Coturnix japonica: one gene and its partners. Each later gene encodes a partner of the first gene's protein in a complex. Links are inferred from orthologs where the notes say so. Each region holds a gene or a part of one and is shown in the gene's direction. Other genes may lie near its edges.

Region 1 (3,987 bases):
CTGGCTGGTACCATTGAAATGAAACCTACTGATTGAAATTCTGATCCTATTGATTTTACACAGGAGATCTGCTCAAGTATGAAAGAGCAGGAATTGCTCCGCAGCCACCCCCACCCCCACCCGCTCCCTGCTGAATACAGGCAGTAGGTTTGCTTTCCCATGCAGGTATACCCTTTTCCCCTGGGCTCCCAGAAATAAATTACCCCAAATTCAGATATTCAGTACCTATTAGCTCACAAATGTTCGGTAAATACCGCTGGCCCTTGAGTACGCTAACATTATTTATGAGCTCCCTTTTACTTCCCTTTGTCTGCTCTGCCTCACATCTCTGCTATACACTGTTAACCACATGCCACGCTTCTCCCCTTTGTTTCAGAGGTGTAGAAGGAAAATGGAAACGGTGCTTTATGGGAAGGAGGTCATATAATGTCAGCCTGTGCCCAGCCCCACCTGGGCCGGGTGTTTCATTATGGATAGTCACAGCGGGCAGCGGCCCCACAGCATCCTTCTGGTTCTGTTTGCAGGGAGGTGGAGAGGGCTGTGGCAGCAGCTCTGTTCCTTCAGTGAGCTCCTCGGCCTGGCTGCTCGTGGCAGAGGGCAGCCTGCTCCCAGAATACAGGCCTTGGTTTCATAGAATCAATCAGAGCTCTCCCTTCCCTGGGTCCAACCCCAGCTCACCCCACCAGGACCACATGGCACGGCTCTGACAGCTCCATGGATGGTGACTCCCCCCTTCCCTGCGCAGCTGTGCCACCGCCTCACTCTTAAAGAAGGAATAGTTCCCAGTCCCCAACCTGACCATCCGCGGTGCAGCTCGAGGTCACTACCTCTCACCCCGCCGCTGTTATCTGGAGCAGAGGCCGAGCCCCCCCCCAACCTGCTGTCAGGGGTCGCAGAGCCATGAGCTCCATGCCGAGCTCCATGCCGAGCTCCATGCCGAGCTCCATGCCGAGCTCCTCTCCATCTGACCCAGCCCGTTCCCTCATGCGCTGTGCTGGGAGCATGCGCGGTACTCGCGCGTCACGGCAGCGGGCGAGGCCTGCGGAGCGCGTCCCCCTCCCCCGGCACATCCCGCACATCCCGCACCGCCGCCGCATCCCCGCGCCCCGCCAGGCGCGCAGCCCGGAGCGGCCCCGCCCCGTTCGTCACGTTCCTCCTCCCCCTTCGCTCCTCCTCCTCCTTCAGCTCCGCCCCGCCCCGCCCGCGGCCGCCCGCGCTGCCCGCAGCCCGTGGATGCGCTGAGCGCTCGGGCACGGAGCCGCCGGCCCCGCCGCTGCGGAGCCCGCAGGCCTTTGTTAATCCCCGCGGCTGTCGGCGTTGCGCTGCCCGCAGCTCGGTGCGCCCGGCGGCGGCGGGGGCTGCGCTTTTTTTTTTATCCCCTCCCTTTTTTTTTTTCTTTTTCTTTTCTTTTTTTTTCTTTTTAATTCCATTCAATCCGTTCTCGCCATGGGATGTACCCTGAGCGCCGAGGAGCGGGCCGCCCTGGAGCGCAGCAAGGCCATCGAGAAGAACCTGAAGGAGGACGGCATCAGCGCGGCCAAAGACGTGAAGCTGCTGCTGCTCGGTGAGCCCCGCTCCGCTCCGCGCCCCGCGCCGCCGCGCCCCGCGCTCACCGCTTGTCTCTCTCTGTCCCGCAGGGGCCGGAGAGTCGGGGAAGAGCACCATCGTGAAGCAGATGAAGTGAGTGCCGCGGGGCGCGGGGCGGCGCGGAGGGCCGCGGGCGCCATGTTGTACCCGAGGGCAGCGCCGGGCGGGAGGCGGCGGCCGCTGCTGTTCGGGGCCCCGTGGTGCTGAACGCCGGGATGAGGGCGGCGGGGCGGGCGGTGGGCGGCTGCGGCCGGGACCGGCGCTCGGGAGGAGGAGGAGGAGGGAGGGGGAAAAAAGCACGAAATCCGCCCGTAATGCGGATTTAAAGCGAGGCTCGCTGCCACCCAAAGCCCCTTTTACCCGAGATTTGAGCCTTTTAATTAATGAGAGGCGAACTTGGCCGCCGGTCGCCAATTATGTTGAAAACGGGTTATTAAAAAGGGGAAAGGAAAAACACGCGACCCAACGCGCCCTGAAAAATCAGCCCTGCCTTCATGCAGCACCTCCCTGACAGCTGTGCCGGGCCCCAATGGGAGTGGGCTGACATGGCTGCCCCACACCGTGCCCCCAGCACACAGTGATCCCAGCACGTGGCCAGGCGGTGCTTCCAGGGGGAGAGCCAGCGGGGCTGTGGGAGAGCATAATGAGGGGTGGGAGAGCCTGTAGAGGTGTGGGAGAGCCAACAGAGGTGTGGGAGAGTCAACAGAGATGTAGGAGAGTCAACAGAGATGTAGGAGAGCCTACAGAGATTTGGGAGAGCCTTGTAGAGATGTGGGAGAGCCAACAGAGGTGTGGGAGGGCCTTTAGAGATCTGGGAGAGCATATAGAGATGTGGGAGAGTCAGTGGTGGTGTGAGAGAGACAACAGAAGTATGGAAGAGCCATTGGAGATGTGAGAGAACCTATAGAGATGTAGGACATCATATAGAGGTGTGGGAGAGTGTACAGAAGAGTGGGAGAGTCAACGGGGGTGTGGGGAGCTCAATGGAGGCATGGGGATCCAACGGAGGCATGAGAGAGCCAGCAGAGGCACAGGGAGCTAATGGAGGTGCGGGGAAGCCAGTGAAGGTGCAGGGAACCAACGGAGGTGTGGAGGTGCAGAATTACTCCATTCCCTTTTCTTCCCTTTAATTAAAGCCCATCCAGCCGCAGCCTCCCACTGGAACGAGCAGGCGCCATAGCTGTGCATTGGGGCTGGGTGTCACGGTGGTAGAGGCACGGAGCGGTTCTTGTTTCCCGATAGGGAAGGAGCCGGTGTCTGGGAGGGGCCGTGGGGCGGGCGGTGTGCCCGATGTGCCCGGTGTGCCCGGTGTGCCCGGTGTGCCCGGTGTGCCCGTAGCCATCCGCAGTCCCTCCGCGCTGTCCCTCGGGCGCGGCGTGGCGCGGCTTTCAGGCGGTTCTCGTGGTGGACAGCGCCCAGCGGGGACTCGAACCGCGGGGAGCGCAGCGCTCGTCTCCTCCCTCGGCGCTCGGCTGCCTTCGGAGAGCGCTCGGGGGCGGTCGGGGGGGAGCCGAGCAGGCTCGGAAATAGCCGAAGGGGCTCGGGCGCCGCTCGCCAACCCTCGGGCGTGGGCTCGCCGCGGGCCCGCAGCCCGGCGCGGTGCCGTGATTGTACGGGGAACAGCACATCTCCTGTAGCGGGGGGGTCCCAGAGGACCGAACCACCGTCCCCGCCCGAGGCAGCGTTCTTCCCATAGAGCTGCAGGGCTGTGGGAGCGAGCAGCCTCGCCCTCGGTGCCGTTCCATCCGCCTCTCCCGCTGCTATCGGTGTGCAAAGGCTCCGAGGCCCCGTCAAAGGGCATTTGGGGATGTGGGGCCGGGAGGATCGGTTTGGTTTGCACTTGTTTGTATGTGAAAGGTGGATCGGGAGAGGAACTGCTGCAGATGAACACCACTAAATTATTTAATCTCTAGGAATGGCTTCTGCAGGAGCGTGCTGGAATGGCGGGCGATGCTTTGGTGGAAGGAGAGGCTGTGGCTGCCACTGGAACAGCGACAGCGCTGTGGGTGAAGGGGCAGCTGTGGCCATGGTGCCTTACACAACCACGCACGGGCTCCTGTGCCGCGGGGACCAGAGCTCTTGTTGTTTAAACGAACTGGTTCCAGATAAAAGCCGGCTGGCTGGGCTATATTAGTAGAGTGAGGGCTGAAAAACACCCTGTTGTAGGTCTATATGTTGAAGGGAGCAGCCCTAATGTGGCACACGGCAGCCTGCAGCCTTGTGCCTGAGGATGCGGAGCTGGCTGCCATGCTGGGAGCTCCGGGCGAGCAGTGGGGCTGGGTGGGGACGCGGCAGCAGCCGGGGGGAGCCGGCACCGCAGGGGAAACCAATGCTTCTGAAAATGAATTTAAATATAATGCAGGCATTAGCATTTCACCTGGTCAAGCTCCATTACACGGG
Region 2 (4,260 bases), on another chromosome or scaffold:
CTCAGCTGAGACATTCCAGAAGCCTTTAAGAATTGGGTTGAATAGGGAGCTTTGGGTTGGGATCTTTATACTGGTTATCTGCTCTTGTGTCTGCCTGAGGACCAGGTGATACACAGTTCTGAGGGCAAGAAGAAAACCCTGACAGGTGACAACAGACTAATCAGTGCACCCTAATGAACACATACAAGCACTTATGAACATGACATCTACATGTGACTTATGTAGTGCATAAGCCAGGTCAAAACATGAGCCACTGTACTATCTGCTTGCATATCTGTATGTAATCTGCTAATTAACCCTTCTAGGCTGGGTGATTTCCTTTGTTTCTTTACCAACACAGCATGACTGCAGAAATACATTGGATCGATAGTTGTCCTGCTGAAGCAAGAGAGAAACAGAGCAGGAAAACTCTGTTCTGCCCAGCTCTGCTGTCCCTTACTGACCCAAGGTGCCAGGCAGGTCATTCTGGTTAAACAGTAATTGAAAAGTCCAGGTAACATGTTGGAATCCCTTTGTAAATTACCTTCGGTCCAAAGCATGATTTCTGCTTTCTGTTCTGATGGAACAAACTGAATAATGACTGACAGCTAAGGAGCAGCCCGCAGTGTCAGTGCCGCCCTATGCACGCAGTCATTTGGAATGCATAGATGTCTTAATGAATACTAACAACTGGCTGAATAGCTGGTGATTACAAACAGCGCGAGCTCTCAAACAGCCGCGGAATGAAAGAGTCGGCTGTTAAACATCATCCCACCATAAACCCGACTCGAAGCCCCGCTCTCTGTCCCCGGCAGCGCTTCACGGGCTCACAGTGACCTCCTCTGTTGGGACGCGGTGGTGGAGCCGGGGCGGACACAGCGATTCCTGCCAGCCCGGACCGAAAGTGAAGGGATGGGAAGAGGTGCCAGCAAATGCCAGCTCTGCCGCGATGCTGGAGCTCCTTCATCCTCTGCTCGAGCTTTGGAAAAATATATATATACATAAATTCAAGCAAAAGTAACTCCCTTAACTATGAAAAGCCAAACGAGCTGAGGGAGGAGGAATCGACTCCCTGCAGCCAGAAGCAAAGGGCAACAAGCCCCCGGTTTGCAGGTCGTGGGCTGGGCAGGGCGAGATCTGTACCTTTCCCTTGCTGCCCGTGAGGACCATGGGCAAGAGCATCGCTGCTTTCCTCCACCTGCACGAGGGCATTCGGGGCTGACTTTAATTAGGCGTTTACATCCACATCGCGACATCGGGGCAGAAATCGTCAGCACTCCCCACGGCCTCTGTCTCTGGGGGGATGCTTAGCGGGACTCGCGTGGATACTACGGAAGGATCGAGGGAACCGAAGGGACAAAGGAACGAGGGGCCGGCAGCGTTCCGTGCGAGCGGTGCGGGGATGCTCGGGGCGGCGGCGGGGAGCGGGGGATGCGCCCCGGCTGCGGGAGGCGGGGCCGGGCCGGGGAGGGGCGGCAGCTCCGGCGGTGCGGAGCGGTGCGGGCCATGGAGAGCGGCGGGGCGTTGAACGGATCCGCCGCCGCCTCCGGGCGCTTCGCAGCCGCCGGCACCGCGGCGCTGGGCGCGCTCATGGCTCTGCTGATCGCCGTCACCGTGGCCGGCAACGCGCTGGTGATGCTGGCTTTCGTGGCGGACTCCAGCTTGCGCACCCAGAACAACTTCTTCCTCCTCAACCTGGCCATCTCGGATTTCTTAGTAGGTAAAGTGCCGCCCGCCGCGAAGCAACGCGTCCGAAACTTCGCGGCGAGGGCGGCGCGGGGTCCAGCCGCTCTCCCGGCCGCAGCTCCGGGCTTCCGTCCCGCAGCGCCGCTTCTCCCCGACCCCTCTGCCCCGCAGCGGCCGCCCGTATCACACATCCCACATCCCACATCCCACATCCTGCATCCCGCATCCCACATCCCGTATCCCACATCCCAATCCCAAATCTCACATCCCACATCCAACGCCCCAATCCCGCACCCAGCGGAGCAGAGCCCAGCTGAGCACACGGGCGGCGGTGCTGCTGCAGGTCACGGCCCCGCGTGTCTGAACAAACGGAGCCCTCTGGTTGCAGGTGCCTTCTGCATTCCCTTGTACGTGCCCTATGTGCTGACAGGGAGATGGATCTTTGGGAGAAGCCTCTGCAAACTCTGGCTGGTAGTTGATTACCTTCTCTGCACCTCTTCGGTCTTCAACATCGTGCTGATCAGCTATGACAGATTCCTCTCGGTGACAAGAGCGGTGAGTCCCGGCACAGCAGCCGAGAGGGAAATGATTCTCTTCCTGCTTTATTCTCCAGATAAGACTCAATAATTAAAAGCTTTCTCAGTCGTCCACAGAATTGTTAATCTTTCAGCCTGGAGATGGAAAGGAATGGTTATCCACAAATACCTAATTGAGCTCTGGTTTCTGATGAGTGTTTTTGGCGTATTTAAAACATATCCTGGACCCCACTGTGCTGGTGTTCCTTTGCAGATGACAGGAAGGCAGCTATGAATTGCAGAGATCTGTGATCTCCGGGGCAGACAAGCAGATTGCAGACCCAAAGCTGGGGAGATTTCAGTACCAACTTCAGCAGGGCACTGTGCTCAGTCTGTGGGTACTGCGAGGTGTGGTGCAGCCTTGCCCAGGCTGATCACAGCCACAGGTGCCTGGTTTCTCCTTGACTCTGAGAACAACCTGGGTCAGCTGCACGGTGCTCATGTTCAGATCAAGGCAGAGCTGAATGCCCGGTGTGTGATGCATGCCTGTCCCCAGGAGGTGCAGCATAGCTGGGGGCAGCTCAGGTATGAGGCTGGGAGCAGCAAACTGCTGGGTTTGAAGCAAAGCAATGCATTTCCACCGAGCAGAACTCACGTCTCTTTCTGGTGCTGCGAGATGAAGGTTCTAAGTCTTCCTGGCAGGTGTGTGATATATCCAGCAATTGCTCCTGCTGCCTGTAGCATGGGGATTTGTTAGAGCGCTGTGATATTGCCTTGCAGCTGTACCAGAAATGCCAACAGCGCGTTCGTGAAATGCCTCAACCAGTTGGTGTGCGTGGCCGTGCTTACAGAAAGGTTTCCTCATTGCAGGTCTCCTACAGAGCCCAGCAAGGCAACACCAGGCGAGCAGTGCTGAAGATGGTGATGGTGTGGGTCTTAGCATTCCTGCTTTATGGACCTGCCATTATCAGCTGGGAGTATATCTCGGGTGAGAGCATCATACCCACCGGGGAATGCTATGCTGAGTTTTTCTACAACTGGTACTTTCTCATGACAGCCTCCACGCTGGAATTTTTCACCCCTTTTATCAGCGTCATGTTTTTCAACCTGAGCATTTACCTGAACATACAAAAGCGGACCAAACTACGCCTGGATGTTTTCCACGAAGTGCACAACCAGTCCTTCGCTGAAGAGATGGAAATGAGCCCAGAAGCAAAGCTTCCTTCAAAGTGCTACAAGTGGGAGCAGAAGGAGCCGGCTGCAACCCTCAGCCTCTCTAAGAGCGAAGCACGAGCAGCAGCTTCCACTGGAGCAAAAGACCCGTTGACAGCCAGCTCGGGGAGATCCCAGTGCTGCAACAAAAAGGGCTGTAAGGATTCAGCACTGTCCTTAGAGAAAAGGATGAAGATAGTCTCCCAGGGCATGACCCACCGCTTCAGGCTCTCCAGAGACAAGAAAGTAGCCAAATCGCTGGCAGTCATTGTGGGTATTTTTGGGATTTGCTGGGCTCCGTACACCCTCCTTATGATTATTCGTGCCGGCTGCCACGGCCACTGCATCTCTGACTACTGGTACGAGACTTCCTTTTGGCTGCTGTGGATCAACTCAGCTGTCAACCCCGTCCTGTATCCCCTCTGTCACTACAGCTTCAGAAGAGCTTTTATTAAACTCCTCTGTCCAAAGAAGCTGAAGATTCAACCTCACAATCCCCTGCAGAACTGCTGGAAATGAAGCTAGCCTTGTGTGCAGGAGAGCCTTTGTAACACAGGCGTAATATTGCTTCTCCAGAAGCTGGGATCACTGCTCTGCAGCACGTGAGGAAGGCAGCTGGGAGATCACTATTAACTTATGCCAGTTCATCACCAACAAAACCAAGCAGAAGAGCAGTGAGGAGGTTGGTTTTTTTCCATGTTAACGTTCACCACAGGCAGTGATGTGTCCTCCACCAGCACAGCAGAGCTCTGCTGCCACCTAGTCAGCCTGAGCAGCACCAACGTTTTGTTGAAATGAGAAACGCAGAAAATAAAGACCTACCCCAAACCCACCGGGCTACACTAACGTTTGAATCATTAAACTAAAG
Region 3 (4,011 bases), on another chromosome or scaffold:
GCGACACAGCTGGGTTTTTGTGTTCCAAAACAAGGGCTGATAATACAGAACGCAGGATGGAGCTGCAGGAGGCTGCTAAGCTAAATGAGACAGGAAGCACGTAATTAAATTAGATATTGAACAGAATGAAGACATCCGAGTACATGCACGTCGTTGGGCTCAGAAGCTATTGCATAACCCTAATGAAGAGCTGTGCATTAGAAAATATTATACGGACCATCTCCCATGCTGGAGCTCACCCACTAAAGGGGAAAGATCAAAACCTAATCATGAGGGGTCCCTCATCCCTGGGGGTACTGGAAAGATGTGTGGATGTGACACAAATGGACAAGGACTAGTGGTGGGTCTCCATAGGTCAGGCTGAAGGTTGGACTTTGTAATCTTGCATGTCTTTTCCAACACTGATGGTTCTATGGTTTCCCTCCTGCTGAGGTTTTATAAAGATTCTCTCCCTCCTGTGGGATTTGCATGGCCCAGGCTCCCATTGCAGCCTTTTCTTCACTTCTGACTTCCATCAAGCCTCTCATCTGAGCTGAGTGGTTCAAAAGATGCTACAGGGAGAATGAGGCATATCTACACCTTGTTTCTATGGGAAAAAGCAGTAAGGAGGAAGGGGCTGGAGCAAAGTGAAGGCTGGAACATCAAGGCCAACAATCACAGAACTACAGAACATCCTGAGTTGGAAGGGAAACATAAGGATTGTAGAATGGTTTAGGTTGGAGGGGACCCTAAAGATCATCTAATTCCAACCCCTCTGCCATGGACAGGTCGTCTCCTGTGAGCTCTGACCATTAATGTGTTACTTTGTGTAGCACCAAAACGTCTCTTCACTCTGCTCTGCACAGCAGCATGGTGCTGGGGGGCTGCCACGGGGTCAGCAAGGTGTGCTGGTCCCCATGTCCCTGCTGCAGTGATGCCACCACACCAGCAGCGCAGGGACGAGTGTTTGGAGTCATCAGCTGGTGGGATGGTGCTGACTAATTGCTTGTCCCCTCTGCTGTCCCCGCGGTTACTCAGCAGGCTGCACACGTCGGTGGACGCCAGCCTGTTTTTTCCACTTATCGAGGAAGCAGTGCTGACTGTGATGCTCAAGGACAAGCCTCCCACCCCCTCCCTTTGCACCTACCCAAGCTGTTATCTTCTCTGCTCGTGCTGAGCAGCTGTTGGTTGGCTGGAGGCTGGAGTGGAGCCGGATACCCTCCCAGCCCTCCCACCCCATATAAGCACAGCTCCTCGATGCTGTTTCAGCCAGCAGCACACCACACAGCAGCACAGGTGGTGCCCCGAGGATCCGATGTGTTGCTGGATGCCTTGGTGCCCAGCTCTCAGCATGTGCCGAGGATTGGCTGCGCTTCCCATCGCTTGCCTGGAGAGGTAAGGGGCTTTGCCACGCCGCAGCGCTGGGAAGCAGAGGGTTAGCCGGAAAAGATGCTCCTGACATCGGATCAGCCTCTGCTGTCATGATGTTTTGCTAGAGATCAGGGTGCAGACTGCACTGAACTCTCAACTAGAGACGGATGCAAGATTTCCTGTGGTTCCCAGGGAGGGATGTAGAGGTAAAACACAAAGGCTGCCCCTCATCTCACTGTGTGCACACACAAGGTTTGTTCTGCCGACTTTGTCACTGCACAGGCTGGCAGAAGCACTGTTTTAATCGAGGTGCTCACAGCACTCGGTGACATCCTGCCAAACAAGGCTACAAAGCAGTGCAGTGCTGGTGCCCTGACATTTAATCACTTATTTCTGCACGGGTGCCCTGGGATGCCAGCAGCGCTGCGTACTGCCAGGGGACCAAAGGGAGAGGAGTGGATTTAGAAGCAGCTCCTGCCCTGTTGCTGCAGGACACTCCATGGGGATGCATCTGGCTCTGAGTTGGCACTGCTGCCATTGTGCTGTCCAGGCTCCTGAGGCATGGGGTAGGTGCTGGTGACAGCTCTGTGGCACCCCCAAAAAGCAGGGGAGGAGCTGCAGCAGCACGGCATGGAGATGATGCTCCCTCTCTGCTGAGCAGAAGGCGAGTGCTGTGATTTTTCCAGCTCGCTACAGAGCACGGTTGCCAGGGAGCAGAAAAAGCCATTAGAGGATTGCTTGTTGCATGCAGCAGAAAGCAAGAAAGCCAGAGAGCTGGAGGAGAGAGGGCTGCCCCTGCCAGCAGGGATGGTGGTGTCAGTCCCCACATTCCAACCTCTCTATTTCCTCCCATCCAGAGCCAAGGAACTCAAGACCCGCTTGGGGATCCTGCTGCATAAACCGGAGCTGAAGCATGGCGTTGGGGCAGCGTGCAAGCTACAGTTGGGCTCCAGGAGGAGGTAAGCTGAGGCTGCGGGTCCCCTTGGGCTGGGCTGTCTCTGGGGATGCTCTGCTTGGCTGGGAGGATGCGGTGCTGCTCATCTGGGTGGTCCCGCCCCGCTGCCTGCCACGTCCCAGCTGCACCAGTTATAAAGTCGGATTGGAGAGGGATGCACCGGCATTAGGCGGAGTGGGGGCTTAGCGTTAAGCTGGAAAGCCAGAGGGCTCCCATAGGTGCTGGTACCTCAAACCCGTACCTGAGTCCCCCAGGGAATGCATACAGCACTAAAAACAAAACACTGAACCTCGCGGCTGTCGGACAGACGCCTGCATGCAGAGGGGGCTCTGCTGGGCTGCTACTGGGGAAGAGGGCTCCACTGAGCGTTCTCTAGAGAAGACTGCCCAGCCAAAGCTGCACGATGGAGCTGAGGTCTGGGGAGCCATCAGGGAATGTAAAAGAAAGGGGGAAAGAGAAAGGAAAGAGGGCTCACAGGTAAAGGATACTGGGGTCTCGCTGTGGCTTCCTGCTGGTGCTGCTGCTTCCCTTCTTGTGCTGTCTCATCGTGGATGTGCTCCCATCCTTCGCCGGCAAGACAGCAAGCCTCACGTCCTGTTGTTTGTTTTCTTGCAGAGACTCCTCACGAGAGGTGCTTGAGTGGAGGGAATCCTTTGACCAGCTCCTCAAGAGTAAAAGTGAGTCGGATTTTGTTTTTTCCTCTTTACAAGTGCATGTAGGATGTATCCCGGAGCCAGGTCTCCTCCTCAATTAGCTGCTCTAGAAACTCGGAAGGTACCCCTGTTGCCCATTGTGCAGCCAGGTCCCTTTGGCTTTACCCTTCCCTTCTGGCTGGATGTTTTTGGGGAGCAGAAGTGCTGTCTCACAGCTCTGTGGGCCAGGAGCATTGACGTGGGCATGCTGAGCAATGGCACGGACCTTCAGCTGGAAGGTATCTTTCCACTGCATTCTCTGGGCTCATGTCTGCTGCCCGTGTAGCTGCTTTCATGCAGGATTTCATTGCTTTGGAAAACATTGCTGCCCTCTGTCTGCCCATCCTATACCTCTCCAGTAGCTCTTACACGAAGAGAAGGCGTTCAACTGCTGTGCTGAGATCCACGCCTCCATTTTCCTCTCCAAAATTCACAGCAGAGCATAAGGTTCTTGTAAGGCGTTGTACCTGTAGGGCCAGCAAGGAGACCAAATATGAACACAAAAGTGTTTGCTTGATTTTATTCCATGGCAACAGACAGTCCTTCCGCAGTGCTAGTCTATGGCCAGGAATCTTTTTTCCAGCCTTTGTCATGTGCTGTGAAGGTTAGCAAACATCTCCAGCTTCGTAACTGAATAAATACATCCCCCAAGCCTGGTTCCCCTGCTGCAGGCACTCTCCCATATTCCTCAGCATCTCATTCCCCCAAATCCCAGCTGGGAAATAAAAGCAAAGCCATCTCTCCTTATTCCCGCGTGCATACTCATATCTCAGTGGATTTCCCCTTCATAGAATTAGCTCTTTTCCGAAGCTGTAAAGAAACCACTCTAAAGACTCATTACAGAAAGGTCAGATAAATAAAACTGGAGGATTATTTGTCTGTGGGAAAGGACTTTATTGGAGCCTTAAGGCCAGTCAGCAGAGGTTCAGAGGCTGGAGTTTGTCCAGAGGGAAAGGAAATCCACTGATACTGCGGTATGGTCTCCTAGGGAGATGGTGGGCAACGCCACATCCA
Region 4 (2,225 bases), on another chromosome or scaffold:
AATGCCTCCGCTCCTGGTTAACAGCAGTTCACATGATCAGGATGCTGTATACTATGCACCAGAATCCATCAGCTCCCTGGTTATCTTCATCCTTGTTTTCATCATAGGTATCCCAGGCAATGGGTTGGTTATCTGGGTAGCTGGTTTGAAAATGAAGAGGTCTGTGAACATCATCTGGTTCCTAAACCTTGCTGTGGCTGACTTCATGTGCTGCTTGTCTTTGCCATTCTTCATTGTTCACTTGTTCCTCAATGAACACTGGCCATATGGTTGGTTTCTCTGCAAAGTCATCCCATCAGTCATAATCTTCACCATGTTTGCTAGTGTTTTCCTACTTATGGTGATCAGCATAGACCGGTGCCTCCTCGTGATGAAACCAGTCTGGTGTCAAAACCATCGAACAGTCAAGTTTATTTCACTCGTCTGCAGTGGCATTTGGATCCTGGCCTTCATTTTCTGTTGTCCAGTCTTTCACTACCGCAACACTGTCACTGGTGGTGGAAAAACTGAGTGTGGGTACAGTTTTGGAGATTATGAAGTACCAGATTATGCAGATGACAGTGATCTTGTAACTGGGATATTGGAAGAATACTCACCTTCAGTACCAGCTGTCACACATGTTAGCACCGTCTTTGCTCATCAGCCTACTGATAGCTATCCAGATTTTCAGGCAAACAGCATGTCCACCCACAATGGTGCAATTGCAGCAGCTCACCTTTCTCATGCCACTGTAGATGTGTACTCCTTGTTAAATTCGACTCCCTATCCAGACATCAGGCTATTGGATGATCTACCTAGTACTAATGTGCCTGTACTATCCAACAATGACTTCGATTTAAAGCTACTTGATACTCTTGATTTGCTTGATTTTGACGATGTCTTTAGTGGTAATGATTATGCCATACCCCTTCCCTTAATTGTAATAACTATCACTAGGGCTGTCTTTGGCTTCATACTTCCTTTCGGCATAATGGCAGTTTGCTACGCCCTTATTGCTTCCAGGATGCTAAGAAGTAACTACCGTAAGCCACAAAGCAAGATGCTGAGAACTATCATTCTTGTGATAGCTGCATTTTTCATCTGCTGGGCTCCCTACCACGCAGTTGGGTTTCTGTCCCTTGTGGCTACTCCCGGTACAGAACTGAAGGAGTCACTGATCCTTTGGGATCACCTCTCTGTAGCTCTTGCATATGCCAACAGCTGCATCAACCCTCTGCTGTATGTTTTTGTGGGGCGGGACTTCAGGGCAAAGGCAAAGCAATCACTGCAAGGAGTCTTGGAAGGAGTCTTTACAGAGGAACCAACATGTTCAACCCCTTACTCTCTTGACAGAAGCAAGACTTCAAACGATAAGGATGTTAGTACCACAGTCTAATGCTGGACTTCCCATCATTACTGCAGAAAGAGCTCTGTACATCAACCACTCTCCACTTTTTTTGCTTTAACACATCTGATTACTGAACAGAATTGCACACGGGGCACTGTGATGGTTCAGATTAGATCTGCTAATCCACTTTATATCCTACTATAGCAAGATGGGAAGTCAGAAATACTAAGAGTAATAATTTTTAGGGAAAGACTAGTGAAGCAAGAGACCCAGAATACTTTAAAGAGTAAAGAAGGCTTGCAGAATGGTTTGTAGTGCAATCATGTACTTCAACTTCTGAACTGCTGAATAAGAAAATAATCAGTTATTTGCATGTCTATTAAAGATAAAATGCAACACTGATGTCTCCTTTGACTGTACTTGGGTCTGAGAGGGTTTTTTTCTGAAGATAGGTAGAGTGAAGCACTACGGTTTACTACAGCATTGCATAGGAACAGCACATTCTCCAGTCAGATGCACTGAACTGATTTTCATGTACTAGTAGATGTCTAAGGTATCATGTTTATCCCAGCAAATATATCACTGTACAGTGGTAACTGCCCTAATTCTCATGCTGTAACTATGTTCATTAGCATTTACTCACTGGCTCCTCAGCACTCCTTCCAACATTAGAGTCACAGACTTTCCTTTAACAAGGTGTTTGAGGCTGCCCAAATATCCCTACTGTATTTCAGGTTATCACAAACAGAATTTGGGGAGCTACTAAGCCACAGTGTAGTTTTCACAGCTTTTCTAGCCAAGATGAGAGTTGAAAGATGTGCTGGTCTCGGTGTTGGGAAAACAGACAGCCTAACCGTAACCTAAAATGTCTCAGTTGCAATGTACACGTAAGTGGGGC
Region 5 (4,009 bases), on another chromosome or scaffold:
AGGAGAGAGAAAAATCAAAGCAGCTGTTGTGGTTTCATCATTTACATCTACACTCTGTCTAAGTTGAGGAATGTGGCTCTGAAGATGCGCTGGGTGCACCAGAAAGGCACGAGGTCCCAGCACAGCACCCCCAGCCTTGCTGCAGCCCCAGGTGAGTCCCTGCACCCTGTCTCCATGTGCCCTGTGGTGTGAAGTCAGATTTTACAGATTGCACCTACTCTGATGGAGGTCAGTGTGCATAGGAAAGTGTGTGTGTGTGTGTGTGTGTCACTGTGGCCTCAGTTTAGAGACTTGAAGGCACTCTCTGCAGATGGCATCTGTAAAATGGGCATCTCCCCCCACTGCCTTATCACCCGTGTCAGCCCTGCAGGCTGTACTTAGCAGCTCCCACACCCCACATCCCAGGCCCTGCTTTGTGTCACTGCTTATAGCACAGTGTGGGGATGAGGGAAAAGGGCTTTGTCCCTCTTGCACGTCAAATGCCTTTATTAGCTCAAGCACCTGGTGTGGTAATTAATTGAGAGCTGCCTGAACCCTGATCATCCTTAGGGACATCTAAAAGTGAGAGCAAAGAGCCCACGAGAGTTAAAGCAGGGGCTGTAGCGGTCACCGCTCTGTGCGTGCTGAGAGCTGGGCGTCACCAGGTGTGCCACCACTGCTCTTTGTTGTTAATGAGGTTCTGTGATGCTGCTGCAATTCAGGGGGGCAAAGTCACGGGGGTCTGAGGCTGCTCTCTTCCGTGGGGCTGCCGCCCGCCTTCCATCCTCCTGCGTGTAGGGGGCACTGCGGGAGCTGGGCTGGGGCGGCGACCCCCTGGTGCCGGCTGCTGAGGTTCGGGTGCCGCGAACCGCGACCTCGCGTGGGTGCCGCGGCCTCGTGGGCCACTGCGTGCAGTGCAGTGCGGTGCGGCGGCCAGCAGGTGCCACTGCCCCCCCGCGCTGCCTGGGGCCGCTGCCGCCGCCCGGCTGCTCCCCCCACTTCGCGTTCCCCCAACACGCGACGGTCTGAAGCTGCCCCAGGGCCGGGTGTGTGCGGGGGTGGGGGGAAGAGAGGGGGGAGCTTTCCCGGGACACGGCCGCGAGGGGAGGGGAGCCAGTGCGCGATTGGGTGGCACCGCGCCGTAAGGCTGCGATACTCGGGGGGAGTCGGGGCTGGGGGGCGAGGGGGTCGCGGGGCTGCGGGGGCAGCGTGCAGGACGCGGACGGGGCTGAACCTGTCGGCGCTGGAGGTGAAGCTGCGATATGTGTGTGCGTCTCTGTGTGTGTGTGTGTGTGTGTGTGTGTGTGTATGCGTGTGCGCGCAACGGGGGCAGCTCCCCACGTGGGGCTGACGCGGCAGCCCCGGCCTGATCCGGGGCTATAAAACGGCTCAGCGACGAGCGAAGCAGAGCAGCCTCCGCCGGCTGCAGCCCCGACCCCGCTCCGCTCCGAGCCCGGCATGAGCCGCGCCCGCCCGCGCCCCCCCGGCCGCCGCCTCTCAGCCCCCGCCCGGGCGGCGCCGCTGTAGGAGCGCGGAGCCCCGCGGAGAGCCGGGTGGGGCAGGGGGCGAAGGGCGGGGGGTGTCCGCGCAGCGGGGTTGATGTTTAACCCGGAGCGCCCGTTCACGGAGAGGGGCCACTTCTTCTCCTCCATGGAGTACCAGCGGCAGCTGGAGGAGGAGGAGGGCTACCCGCCTCCCGGCGCCAACGGGACTTTCAACGACAGCGCGGCCGGGCTGGGATGGAGCATGCCGTACCCCCTGCACACCACCATCACCCTCATCAGCCTGGCGGGCTTGCTCATGCTCTTCACCGTCTTCGGCAACGTCCTGGTCATCATTGCCGTCTTCACCAGCCGGGCGCTGAGGGCCCCCCAGAACCTCTTCCTGGTGTCCCTGGCCTCTGCCGACATCCTGGTGGCCACCCTGGTCATCCCCTTCTCCCTGGCCAACGAGCTGATGGGCTATTGGTACTTTGGCAAAGTGTGGTGCGAGATCTACCTGGCGCTGGATGTGCTCTTCTGCACCTCCTCCATCGTCCACCTGTGCGCCATCAGCCTGGACCGCTACTGGTCCATCACACAAGCCGTCGAGTACAACCTCAAGCGCACCCCGCGCCGCATCAAGTGCATCATCTTCATCGTCTGGGTCATCTCAGCCGTCATTTCCTTCCCACCGCTCATCTCCATAGAGAAGAAAAGTGTGCAGAAGGTGAACCAGTGGGCATCAGGGTGCAAGATCAATGACGAGAAGTGGTACATCATCTCGTCGAGCATCGGCTCCTTCTTCACCCCGTGCCTCATCATGATCCTGGTCTACGTGCGCATCTATCAGATAGCCAAGAGACGAACCAGGGTCCCGCTGAACAAGAGGGCGGAGCGCCCAGAGAAAAAGCAGAACGGCTTGGCCGACAAGGAGGACCTGCCAGCCTCAGCCCAGCTCAATGGGGAGAAAGCAGCCGGAGCTGGTGATGGGCAGGAGGGAGAGGTCAATGGCATAGACATGGAGGAAACCTCCTCCTCTGAGCACCAGGAGAACAGCCAGCCCAAGAAAGCAGAGAGACCCCTGCGGGGAAAGACCAAGACTAAGCTGAGCCAGATAAAGCCTGGGGACGCTTTGCCCAGGAAGACAGAGGAGGAGAGGAACACCAAAGGGTCCCGGTGGAGGGGCCGGCAGAACCGGGAGAAGCGCTTCACCTTTGTGCTGGCCGTGGTGATGGGGGTCTTCGTGCTCTGCTGGTTCCCCTTCTTCTTCACCTACACACTGACTGCAGTCTGCAAGAGCTGCTCTGTGCCTCCCACCCTCTTCAAATTCTTCTTCTGGTTCGGTTACTGCAATAGCTCCCTCAACCCAGTCATCTACACCATCTTCAACCAGGACTTCAGACGGGCCTTCAAAAGGATCCTCTGCAGGATAGAGAGGAAAAGGATCGTTTGAAGGACCCACAGGAATGGGCAGGACTAATAATTCAAGACTTTGCAAGAGAGTAAGGCACGACTGTCCTTGGGCTGTGCTTGCATGGGATGGTTTCCTTCAACTTCTGAGCAGGAAGCCTTCCAAACCCGAGATGAGCCCACTGAAATGCCCAACAGCGGCAGCGAGGAGCGGCAGGCAAGTGGAGGTCTGAGCCTGGCACTCAGCTCCCAGGGGAGGATGGCTTTCGATTCGCTTGGTTTACTTTGTGAGGTTTCTTTCTTTTGCCACAGAGTCTCTCAGTGGATGTTTTCATGACTGCTCAGTTTGACTCTTTAAAGACAGATGACGCACAGCTCCGTGAAGCGAACAGCAAAGCGGGAGTATGCCCCCTTCAGAGGTGTTGGCTTTTTGTTTTGTTGTATCTTCCCCACTCCCCCCCCCACCCCCCCCTCCTGTTGTATATGTAATTAGTTTTAACCCCCTTGTAAAATACAGTGTTGTATCTCTGAATCTGAACGTCTTAATTTTTGTAAGGCAAGCAGCTTCGAAACTGTGAATGCTTTAATTATGTTTGACACCTGAAAACTCCCTTTCTTCCCACTCCCTGAAATCCCCCTTTGCTCAAAACCAGCAAAGAGTTAGAGCAGTTTCTCCTGCCTGGCAAGTGGGTAAAATCACCAACATTTCCATTTCCAGTGTCCTGTTGTTGTTCTTTTTTCTATTTCTATTTCTTTTCCTTTTTTTCTTTTTTCTTTCTTTTTTTTTTTTTTTTTTGGCTCTAAAGCTGAGGATCCTGCTCCCCCCCAGGCTAGCTTTTCTTTCATGTTTTTTTCCCCTTTTCTCTCTGTCCTAACCTGGTTCTGTTGAATTCAGCGCTGCCCATGATATAAGAAGGCAGAGCTGTAATTTCCACATCCCTACCAGTTGCAGCAGAGCCAAGGGGTGGTTGCTGTGCAGGCGGGCACCCAAGGGCTGCTAAGGGCTCTTTCTCATGCTGTGCAGAGCTTGGGATCCAGCCAAGCTCCCAGCAACTTCCCCTCGGCTGATATAACACCGTATCAAAGTTCCAACGTGTGTTCAATGCTAACTCGGTTCCCCCACCCCTGACTGTACATAG
Region 6 (3,986 bases), on another chromosome or scaffold:
ATTCAGACTATAACATTCAAAGGAAAATATTTCCTGAGAAAATAGAAGAAGACCTGAGCAATGAGGACTAATGACACATTTCAGATGGAGAGTTGCAATTAACTCAATGTTAGCACTAGCTTCAGCAAGGCTAAGGTTTCACTCCTGACAGAATAAAAAAGGCTGATGTCTGGCAACAGCACATGATTAACCTGAAGGAACAGAATGGAGCTGTGCCAGGGGAGGGACAGCTGGGAGTTAAGGAAAGTGTCTGCACCAGAGGGTGGTGGGCATAGAACGGGTTGCCCAGGGCTGGAGTTCAAGGGGTGTCTGGTCACTGCTTTCAGACAAAAGGTTTGAATTTCGGTTGCTCCATGTGGAGCCAGGAGCTGGGCTCTATGATTCTTGTAGATGTCTTCCAATCCAGGATATTCTCTGACTCAAAAGCAAAACATCAGCTTCTTGTGTCTCATATAAAGGAATTCATAGCAATAAACATAGGCATCAGTTACACTAAGGGAATTTATGTATACTTCCATTTTTTTTTGACCATATACTTGGATATTTCTGATAAGTCTGCTGTATCTGATACATTCTAAAAATGTTTAACATCTGTTCTCAGATCCCTAACAGAAGTATACAGTAGTAGTAGGTCCAAGCAGTAACTGAACATGACAATGTAGTGATGAGGTACACACACTAAAAACAACAACAACAAAGGAACCCTCAAATCTCTTAGGAGTCTTCAGTGGTTTATTTTTAGTTATTTGTAACTCCAAAACTGAGTCATGATGAATATAGGAAGCAGCTCGATCTAAATCCGTAGAAATCTATAGAAACTGAATTGCGCTCTCCCATAATGTTTTACTTTTGACATAATGCACCAGATGATAAGTAGGATTAATTCCCATCTAGATCTGCAGAAGTCAATAGCTCTACAGTCAGCTGATGCAGAGCTTCTGAAAGGTTGTCCTAATACAAGCAGCAAAAGGAAAGGTGGGGGGAAAAAAACCGTTAAACTGTGGTCTAAAGAGAAGCAAACAAAAGCTCGTGTCCTAAGGAAACACATCTGAACAGCTGGTTCTCTTTGTCCCCACTGCTCCCCACGTGGAAGGTGCTGCAAAGTAGCACTGAGATCTTGAGTAAATAGGACACATAAAAGAAGTATTTGAAGGAAGACACGGCTCTCCCAGCCCGTCCCTCCATATGGGTGGAGGGGATTTGCAACAATTCACAGTTTCATCCCTTGAGAAGAGAGACGGAGCAATGCTAACATCAGATGTAGCACACAGATCGAAAACATTTCAAGAACTCTCTAGCAATCCTGTTTTATTGGCAAGGTGCACGTGTGTGAGAGTATTTACGTGAACTCATACACACAGCCTGCGGGAGGCTCTGCATTCTGCCCAGCTCTGAGAAGAACCACTATTTAGACGCTCTAATTTTGGTCCCTGGAAGAGCTCCCTGCTGCTGCCCGGCTCTGAGCTCATCGCTGACTAACAGGGCACAGAGCAGAGCAACGGGGAGCTTTGGGAACACGTTCTTCGTGATTGGTACGTGAAAGGTGGTCTTTTATTTGCTTGTATGAAATAACAGCGCCTGCCACTTTTTGCCCTGCGAGCTACCGCCCATGACGGAACATATAATAGCAGCCTGTGAGGGAGGTGAAAACAGTGAGACCGGGCTTTGAATAGTCCGTCCGAATTCCTACTGCCTGCTACCTGTCCGAGCTCGATGCAGAACTCCCGCAGCCCCGCCTGCCGCCGCTCCACCCTGCCCAACAGCCGGCACAAGAGGCACGAAGAACTTTTCCGAGGCGGCTGCCCTGAGAAGCCGATTACCGTCTAAATCGGGAAATAAAGAAGTCCCTCTGCTCCCCGCTTTGCCCGACCTGCCGGCACAGCGGGAGCCAGGGCGAGCCTGGCGGAGGCGGAGGCGGAGGGAAGGGAGAGCGCAGCTTGCCCGGGGCTGCCGATCCTCCTCCGCACCCGGCGGCGCACGTTGGGCGGCGGCGGCGCCTTCCTCCTCCTCCTCCTTCTCCTCCTCCTACCCTCTAACCATCCACCCCTGCCCGGCGCTGGCGGGGGTGGCCGCCACCTGTCGCGGGGCTTTGCCTCCGCCTTCCACCCGCGGAAACTTTGCTTGGCGTCAACAGGAGAGGATGGAACCGGGGGAGCCCCTCAACCGGTCCCAGGAGGGGGCAGAGTCGCCCCGCGGGGAGTTCAACGCCTCCGGGCTGCTGGAGACTGAGGGGAAGCCCCTTTTCGGCATCGGCATCGAGAACTTCATCACCCTGATCGTCTTCGGCTTGATCTTTGCCCTGGGGGTGCTGGGAAACTCGCTGGTGATCACGGTGCTGGCTCGCAGCAAGCCGGGCAAGCGCCGCAGCACCACCAACATCTTTATCCTGAACCTGAGTATCGCCGACCTGGCCTACCTGCTCTTCTGCATCCCCTTCCAGTCCACGGTCTATGTGCTACCCACCTGGGTGCTGGGTGCCTTCATCTGCAAGTTCATCCATTACTTCTTCACCGTCTCCATGCTGGTGAGCATCTTCACGCTCTCGGCCATGTCCGTGGACCGCTATGTGGCCATTGTGCACTCACGGCGCTCCTCCACCCTGCGCGTCCCCCGCAACGCGCTGCTGGGAGTCGGGCTCATCTGGGCTCTCTCCTTTGCCATGGCCTCACCAGTGGCTCATCACCAGCGCCTCTTCCACCGCAATGGCAGCGACCAGACCTTCTGCTGGGAACACTGGCCCAACCCGCGCCACAAGAAGGTCTACGTGGTCTGCACCTTTGTCTTCGGTTATCTGCTCCCTCTGCTGCTCATCTCTTTCTGCTATGCCAAGGTGGGGCAGGGCAGGTGGTGGGGAAGGGATTGTAAAAAGCAATGGTGATAGCGGTGGTGGGTATCCGTGAGCTGTGGGGACATGTCCGGTGCGCAGATGGACATGGCATTGTTGGGAACCAGCAGCATAAGGAGGTGATGGGGCAAAAATGAGTTTGTGGGGATGGGTTTTATAGTGGAGGGATAGCTGGGGACGTGTGTGTGTGGTGCAGACAGGTCGAGGGCTGCATGGAGTAGCTGGGGGTGTTGTGTGTTCTTCAGACACTTCCGGGTCCCCTCTCCTTACAAAGTGTCAGAAAGCCCCAGTGCTCTGCTGCTTCCTCTGTGACCACAACTCTCCCATTTCCTTGCTGTGCTGCATGAAGAGTTTAACTCCAGTGAAGTGCAACCAAGCAACAAGTTGTTCAGGCTTCCTACAAAGCAGTGCAGCTCTTTTGAAATGAGGTGTGCTGAAAACAAGACAGCAAAATCCCACCAATTTCGTCTGATCCCATTAAAATATTATGAGCTAAAGGAATAAGGTGTCACCTGGTCATTGTTAACCTCACCCTGCTCTGCAGAGGGAGATTTACCTCTGAATTAAGCAAGGTCAGGTGCTAGGAAGCAACAAGTGAGAACCTGAGTAGGAAATCATTTAGTGCATTTGCCTGAATGGGTGTACTTAAGGGCTTTCTGCTCTGGAAAATGGTCATGTTTTTCTGCAGATGTTAATTTCAGCCTTTGATGCAGTATCAAGAAGGACTCAAGCACAGGCTGTGACCCAGTGAGCTGCACAGAGATCCTCCTAGTGTGCACCAGCAGCATCAGTCATGGGATTTCTCCTTAGGCAGTAATTTGGGTTCAAGTGGACAGAACCACCTTTGCAGATGGGGACTGCTTAGGTGTCACAAAATCCCATCTTTAATAAGCACGTTAAAAAGGCTTAGTTAATGCATTTAATCTGAACAGATAATTTTATCTTCAGTTGTATGTATTGTATATATATAAAGTTAGTTTAACTGTGGAAATTCAGGTTGGAACAGCATCCAACTCTATTAAAACTCTGAGTTATGCAGAACTCAAAGGATGATGTTTTTAACCTATTGTTGGTAGTGAAACAAGTCCAGCCTGGCAAATGGCGAAAAAATAAAACAAAACATGTTTTCCTATGTAAAATG
Region 7 (4,089 bases), on another chromosome or scaffold:
CAATTACACCTTGTGAAAGTACTCTCAGGTAAAGAAAAACAGACTTGTATAACACTGAAACATGAGTGCCTTCAAATCTCAGAGCTCCCTGCCTGTGGGTGAGTCCTATCACCAAGGGCAGGAGATGCACGGGGCCCAGCAGAGAATTTCAGAATCCTGGTATCCTGAACGTACACCTCCCTTTTGGAGGGTAAAACCAATGGTGAGATCTACCCAGGAACAGCTTAATATCTGCAAGTACTCTAGGCAGTTTCTCTGCTCAGAGCAAACCCATTACAAGAAATAACTTCTTCAAAGCGAAGGGGGAGGTTGGAGAGGAGTTAGTGGGCAATGTATCCAGTGGTCCTTCAAGAAGAGAGCTGGGTGAGAAAGGCAGTGCATGCAGCACTCAGGCAGAAACTGGGGTCACCTTCATAGAGTGCTCCCTTCTTTCCTGTTTGTTCTGCACCTCCGTCCCCTCAGCCTTCATACTATAGATCAGATGAACTCCCTTCCTCTGTTTGCCACTCCAGCAGCCCTGAATATTAGGGAAGAAATCCACAATCCCAGCCCACAAATGCATTCTGGTCCAGAACAAAGGAAATAAACCTGAAGATGTTTAGATCTAGATTACTTCCATGGAACCTAAAAGTTCCCTTAAGCAAAGTAAATACTTTGCAGCCTAATGACTATTAATTAAAAGGGAGTGCTTTACATACATCCAAGGAGAATTAAGTGCTGTTCACAGAATGTGTCTCTTTCTCCTAATTGTTTTGTCATTGTTCTGGGGAAGCAGCATCCCATGAATATTTCAGCACAATAATCAGTTTGAAAAACTAATCTGGATTTGGTACATTTTCCCCACAGTGCACAGAGACTCCGGTGACTGAAATAATCTAAAACCCAGATCTCTTTTTCCTCCCATATATCAAGTGAGACTTAGAGCCATCACAGAATGGCAAAAATAAAATAAAATGAAATAAAATAAAATAAAATAAAATAAAATAAAATAAAATAATAATAAAAACAAATAAAGTGGGGGAGTTTTGAGCTGAAAAAATGGGGAAGAGGTAACAAAAAAAAATCAGTTCAGATGTGCAAATTGTAGATAAAGACTTCTGATGAGGAAGAGGGGAGTGTCTGAAGAAGAAGAGTGTGTTGAAAGATAACAAGAATCAGTAATTTCTATTCAGCAAAGCCACCAAATCAGAGAGCAGTGCTGATCTTATTGGAGGAGAGCCTTCAACAGCAACTAATCCTGTCATATTGAAAGAAAATTGTAAATGTTCTCTGCAGAAATTGCCTGCCCATTGCAGCTAATCGAGCCCACTTGGCGCTCACACACCCACACACAGCACACAGCACCCGGACCCACAGCCGCACAGCCACCAGCACTGTGAGATGCTTACCTGGGCGCCCGGATCCCCTCCTTGCTGCCAACCCTCATGAAGGTGGCAGCTTGTCCTCATTTCCTTAGGAGTACTGTGGGAAATACGAATTATAATCGGCTCATTTATGAGCCCCAGTATCCTCTATTTTTAAATTCTCCAGTTTTGTCTAAACCTTTAAGCCAGGTCTGATAGCTCTATGTATATATGTGTGTATATATGTGTGTGTACATACATATATATGTATTTTAAAGCTGATCTTGGCTGAGCTGGAGCAGACTCCCAAGGGCCAGTGCCACGGAGAGAGTGCGGGGTGTGTGTGTGTGTGTGTGTGTGTGTGTGTGTGTGTGTGTGCCTGCGCATGTGGGAGGGAAAGAGAGAGCGAGGGAGAGACAAAAACTCCATCAACCCGGACAATGCCACCTCTCGTTTAATGCTTTCCAACTGTTATTCTTTCCCCTCATTATCACGGCACCAAGTAATCTGTCTTCTCCCCCCCCCCCCCCCCCCTCCCTCCTCTTGGAAGATATGGAAGAGAAAGATAAAGCGTCTGCCTGCGGGCGCTGATGCGCGCAGCTCGCATGCTCTGCCGCCAGAGCCGGGGCCACTCCGCAGCCGCCGCTCTCAAAGAGCCGCTTGCAGCGGGATGGGATGCAACTTCTGGTGATTGGATCACAGGTAAGAAAGCTTCGCTTTTTCATTGATGTTTCCTCTCTCTCTCTCTCTCTCTCTTTTTTTTTTTTCTTCCCTTCCTCTTCCTTTTTTTTCTTGTTCTTTCAGTCTTTATTTTGGTATTTTTCCCCCCACCCTTTTCTTTCTCGCCTTCTGCCCTCCTCCCCTTTCTCGCCGCACCTACAGTTTCATCTGCTGCCGTCATAGGGAAAGCTCCCGCCAAGAAAATAATGTCCAAGAAACGACCTTACGTTTTGCTTCCTAATAGAAGGAGCAGAGCAAAACATGGGGAAACTTTTGCTGAAAGGGTCTATCGCACTGCGGTCATCGGGGGCTGGGAGCGAGGGGAGAGAAGGCAAAGCCCCAGCAGAGATTTCCTCTGCTGAGTTACAGCTGTGATACTCATCCCGGAACCGAGGCTAAATGGTACAGCCAGGAAGGAGAGACGCGGTAACCCGATTTAGGGAAATCCTCACATTTACCAAGCGCTTCTCAAGTTGGCTTTTCTGTTTGTTTGTCAGTTTTTGTTTTAAATAATGTAAATGTTGAGTTCCAACACAGGGACGTCTCCCGGGCTACCCGTCCCAAATCCCACTGTGACATGTTTGCCGGTGAGTCCTGCAAAATGTCCTCGGGAGCTGGGAGTGGAGCCTGCCCTAGGGGTGAGGAGGGCAGAGACGGAGAGGGCAATAGGAAAAGGAGACTTCTTCCATGCCAGTGCGGTTCCTCAGCACCCCACCTAGGGACCGTGCATGTGTTCAGGGTCAGCGCCCATCCCCGTGGCCTCAGGTCTCAAGGGGGGGATAAGGGGGAGGGGGCTGGAAGGGGGCTGGGGTTCCGCCAGAGGCGAGAAAGGCAGGAGGTTTCCCCAGTTCCGACTTCACTTCTCTGGGTAGGTGCCCCCTGCGGTCCAGTCACAGGTGGATCCGGGGGAGGATGTGAGGATGCTCCAGGGTCGGGCTCAGCGCTACCCGCTACCACGTTCCGACTGATCTGGTGTGTGTGGGGGTAAGCCTCTGCCGGCTGCTCCTCCGGGCTCCCTCTGCTCCGGGTCGCAGACACGGGGTGCCTGCGGCGGGGAGGAGCGAGCCTCGAGAGGGAGCTGCTCTGACAGCGCGAACAAGAATACCTCCCGGACTGCCCCGGGAGCTGTGGTGTCGGTTACCCTCTCAAAGTCCAGCCATTTTCGGAGCTCTGTAGGGCCAAAGTGCTGCCCTACCCCACCAGCGAGTTTCTTTCAAACCCTTCTTCACTCTCGACTGGGAGCTGCTGTTCAGCTGGGGTCTCCGCAGAGCCACCAGGCATGTAGGCTCTTTTTATGTGCCTCGGGGTGATCACTGCACCCCGTCGGTGGAGAATGGACAGGGGACTTTCACCACACTCCAGAAAAGCTCTTTTTATCCATATTCTTTTCAAGCGCTTGCAGTACCTTTATGCAAACTCTTTTTTCTTCAACTGGTACTGGAGGATGGGGACAGGGATATTTCTTGCTGAAAATTCAGCCAGAGAAGTATGTCTCCCCACTTAAGTGTCATCCAGTGTGCTTGCACATTTTTCTTTAGCACTTGAGAAAAAGGGGAGAGGAAATAAAATTGAGGGTGAGTTTTAGCAGTGTTGGGTTTTTGTTGTTATTGTTGATGTTGTTGTTTGTGGGGTTTTTTAAAGAGATTGTCAATGAGGAAGGTTAATAAGGGAGATTAGGAGTAGGCGCTCTGTCTGCTTTTATGGTATTGCATTGCCTGCAATCCTAGCTCTGTCTAAATACGTGCCAGCCTCAATTACATAGTTTATGACACCAGCCGTTTTCAATGACTCGTCTATAAACTGTGTTATGTTGTGCAGAGTATACTCTCTCTCCTTTAGGCTCTTTTTGATTATAACTTTGGTCGAGCTTCCCCTCTGCAGGACCTCTGGATTGCAAAAACAACCCTGTTTGCTCTTGCACCTGGAGAGAGAGAAGTAGTACCACAGGTTTGCCAGCTTGTCAAGCCCACAATCTTCTCTAATACAAAACCAAGATCTTAGGAAATAACTGATCCACTTGTAACTC

The links.
Region 2: the proteins of GNAO1 (region 1) and HRH3 are in contact, whole or in part, in a cryo-EM structure (PDB 8YN7), measured with the Homo sapiens proteins. The link is inferred for Coturnix japonica from reciprocal best matches to the Homo sapiens genes GNAO1 and HRH3. Residues at the interface, in NP_066268.1 of Homo sapiens: Ile28, Ala31, Lys32, Asp33, Val34, Lys193, Asn194, Leu195, Asn312, Pro315, Asn316, Lys317, Glu318, Ile319, Tyr320, Phe336, Thr340, Asp341, Ile343, Ile344, Ala345, Asn347, Leu348, Arg349, Gly350, Cys351, Gly352, Leu353, Tyr354; in NP_009163.2 of Homo sapiens: Asn69, Asp131, Arg132, Ser135, Val136, Ala139, Val140, Tyr142, Arg143, Ala144, Gly147, Ile221, Ile225, Arg228, Arg232, Thr345, Phe348, Arg349, Arg352, Val356, Leu360, Cys415, His416, His417.
Region 3: the proteins of GNAO1 (region 1) and RGS16 are in contact, whole or in part, in a crystal structure (PDB 3C7K), measured with the Mus musculus proteins. The link is inferred for Coturnix japonica from reciprocal best matches to the Homo sapiens genes GNAO1 and RGS16. Residues at the interface, in NP_034438.1 of Mus musculus: Glu64, Asp65, Gln68, Ser75, Arg86, Thr117, Val180, Lys181, Thr182, Thr183, Gly184, Ile185, Val186, Gln205, Arg206, Ser207, Glu208, Lys210, Lys211, His214, His236, Glu237, Asp238, Glu239; in NP_035397.2 of Mus musculus: Glu85, Phe86, Ser87, Glu89, Asn90, Glu124, Ala125, Pro126, Glu128, Val129, Asn130, Asp132, His133, Glu134, Leu161, Lys164, Asp165, Ser166, Arg169, Lys172.
Region 4: the proteins of GNAO1 (region 1) and C3a anaphylatoxin chemotactic receptor-like are in contact, whole or in part, in a cryo-EM structure (PDB 8I95), measured with the Homo sapiens proteins. The link is inferred for Coturnix japonica from reciprocal best matches to the Homo sapiens genes GNAO1 and C3AR1. Residues at the interface, in NP_066268.1 of Homo sapiens: Ile28, Ala31, Lys32, Asp33, Val34, Asn194, Leu195, Ser264, Asn316, Glu318, Tyr320, Asp341, Ile342, Ile343, Ile344, Ala345, Asn347, Leu348, Arg349, Gly350, Cys351, Gly352, Leu353, Tyr354; in NP_001313404.1 of Homo sapiens: Asn57, Asp119, Arg120, Val123, Val124, Pro127, Ile128, Gln131, Asn132, Arg134, Asn135, Tyr356, Ile359, Arg362, Gly366, Arg367, Phe368, Ser371, Lys374, Thr375, Val378, Leu438.
Region 5: the proteins of GNAO1 (region 1) and ADRA2A are in contact, whole or in part, in a cryo-EM structure (PDB 7W6P), measured with the Homo sapiens proteins. The link is inferred for Coturnix japonica from reciprocal best matches to the Homo sapiens genes GNAO1 and ADRA2A. Residues at the interface, in NP_066268.1 of Homo sapiens: Ile28, Lys32, Lys193, Asn194, Leu195, Asp218, Phe336, Thr340, Asp341, Ile343, Ile344, Ala345, Asn347, Leu348, Gly350, Cys351, Gly352, Leu353, Tyr354; in NP_000672.3 of Homo sapiens: Arg77, Arg146, Ser149, Ile150, Ala153, Ile154, Asn157, Leu158, Arg160, Pro162, Ile234, Ala238, Arg241, Arg383, Arg386, Phe387, Val390, Leu391, Phe444, Asn445, His446.
Region 6: the proteins of GNAO1 (region 1) and GALR1 are in contact, whole or in part, in a cryo-EM structure (PDB 7XJJ), measured with the Homo sapiens proteins. The link is inferred for Coturnix japonica from reciprocal best matches to the Homo sapiens genes GNAO1 and GALR1. Residues at the interface, in NP_066268.1 of Homo sapiens: Ser264, Asn316, Glu318, Tyr320, Asp337, Asp341, Ile343, Ile344, Ala345, Asn347, Leu348, Arg349, Gly350, Cys351, Gly352, Leu353, Tyr354; in NP_001471.2 of Homo sapiens: Thr70, Arg133, Ala136, Ile137, Ser140, Arg141, His226, Leu227, Leu231, Asn233, Ser235, Lys236, Lys237, Ser238, Ala240, Ser241, Lys244, Thr245, Thr248, Leu306, Ser307, Glu308, Asn309.
Region 7: the proteins of GNAO1 (region 1) and CHRM2 are in contact, whole or in part, in a cryo-EM structure (PDB 7T8X), measured with the Homo sapiens proteins. The link is inferred for Coturnix japonica from reciprocal best matches to the Homo sapiens genes GNAO1 and CHRM2. Residues at the interface, in NP_066268.1 of Homo sapiens: Lys24, Ile28, Ala31, Lys32, Leu195, Tyr320, Asp337, Ala338, Thr340, Asp341, Ile343, Ala345, Asn347, Leu348, Gly350, Cys351, Gly352, Leu353, Tyr354; in NP_000730.1 of Homo sapiens: Asn58, Arg121, Cys124, Val125, Pro128, Leu129, Thr130, Pro132, Val133, Lys134, Thr136, Ile209, Ser213, Lys214, Ser215, Arg216, Ile217, Arg381, Lys384, Val385, Thr388, Ile389, Cys443.

What each region holds. Positions count from the first base shown.
Region 1 is NC_029526.1:480,271-484,257, reverse strand, and holds the start of GNAO1 (guanine nucleotide-binding protein G(o) subunit alpha), read left to right. Parts: upstream 1-1,187; 5' UTR 1,188-1,446; coding exon 1,447-1,564; intron 1,565-1,637; coding exon 1,638-1,680; intron 1,681-3,987. UniProt on the Homo sapiens protein: Guanine nucleotide-binding proteins (G proteins) function as transducers downstream of G protein-coupled receptors (GPCRs) in numerous signaling cascades.
Region 2 is NC_029535.1:6,944,620-6,948,879, reverse strand, and holds the start of HRH3 (histamine H3 receptor), read left to right. Parts: upstream 1-1,460; 5' UTR 1,461-1,485; coding exon 1,486-1,699; intron 1,700-2,053; coding exon 2,054-2,220; intron 2,221-3,050; coding exon 3,051-3,911; 3' UTR 3,912-4,260. UniProt on the Homo sapiens protein: The H3 subclass of histamine receptors could mediate the histamine signals in CNS and peripheral nervous system. Signals through the inhibition of adenylate cyclase and displays high constitutive activity (spontaneous activity in the absence of agonist).
Region 3 is NC_029523.1:6,076,672-6,080,682, reverse strand, and holds the start of RGS16 (regulator of G-protein signaling 16), read left to right. Parts: upstream 1-1,211; 5' UTR 1,212-1,294; coding exon 1,295-1,374; intron 1,375-1,820; exon of another isoform or gene 1,821-1,911; coding exon of another isoform or gene 1,912-1,916; intron 1,917-2,207; coding exon 2,208-2,309; intron 2,310-2,441; exon of another isoform or gene 2,442-2,708; coding exon of another isoform or gene 2,709-2,782; intron 2,783-2,920; coding exon 2,921-2,982; intron 2,983-4,011. UniProt on the Homo sapiens protein: Regulates G protein-coupled receptor signaling cascades. Inhibits signal transduction by increasing the GTPase activity of G protein alpha subunits, thereby driving them into their inactive GDP-bound form.
Region 4 is NC_029516.1:61,386,569-61,388,793, forward strand, and holds the end of C3a anaphylatoxin chemotactic receptor-like, read left to right. Parts: 5' UTR 1-1; coding exon 2-1,375; 3' UTR 1,376-1,725; downstream 1,726-2,225.
Region 5 is NC_029521.1:23,172,893-23,176,901, forward strand, and holds the start of ADRA2A (alpha-2A adrenergic receptor), read left to right. Parts: upstream 1-1,209; 5' UTR 1,210-1,578; coding exon 1,579-2,913; 3' UTR 2,914-4,009. UniProt on the Homo sapiens protein: Alpha-2 adrenergic receptors mediate the catecholamine-induced inhibition of adenylate cyclase through the action of G proteins.
Region 6 is NC_029517.1:81,400,084-81,404,069, reverse strand, and holds the start of GALR1 (galanin receptor type 1), read left to right. Parts: upstream 1-1,186; 5' UTR 1,187-2,140; coding exon 2,141-2,830; intron 2,831-3,986. UniProt on the Homo sapiens protein: Receptor for the hormone galanin. The activity of this receptor is mediated by G proteins that inhibit adenylate cyclase activity.
Region 7 is NC_029516.1:54,483,653-54,487,741, forward strand, and holds the start of CHRM2 (muscarinic acetylcholine receptor M2), read left to right. Parts: upstream 1-1,289; 5' UTR 1,290-1,430; exon of another isoform or gene 1,431-1,878; intron 1,879-1,893; 5' UTR 1,894-2,045; intron 2,046-4,089. UniProt on the Homo sapiens protein: The muscarinic acetylcholine receptor mediates various cellular responses, including inhibition of adenylate cyclase, breakdown of phosphoinositides and modulation of potassium channels through the action of G proteins.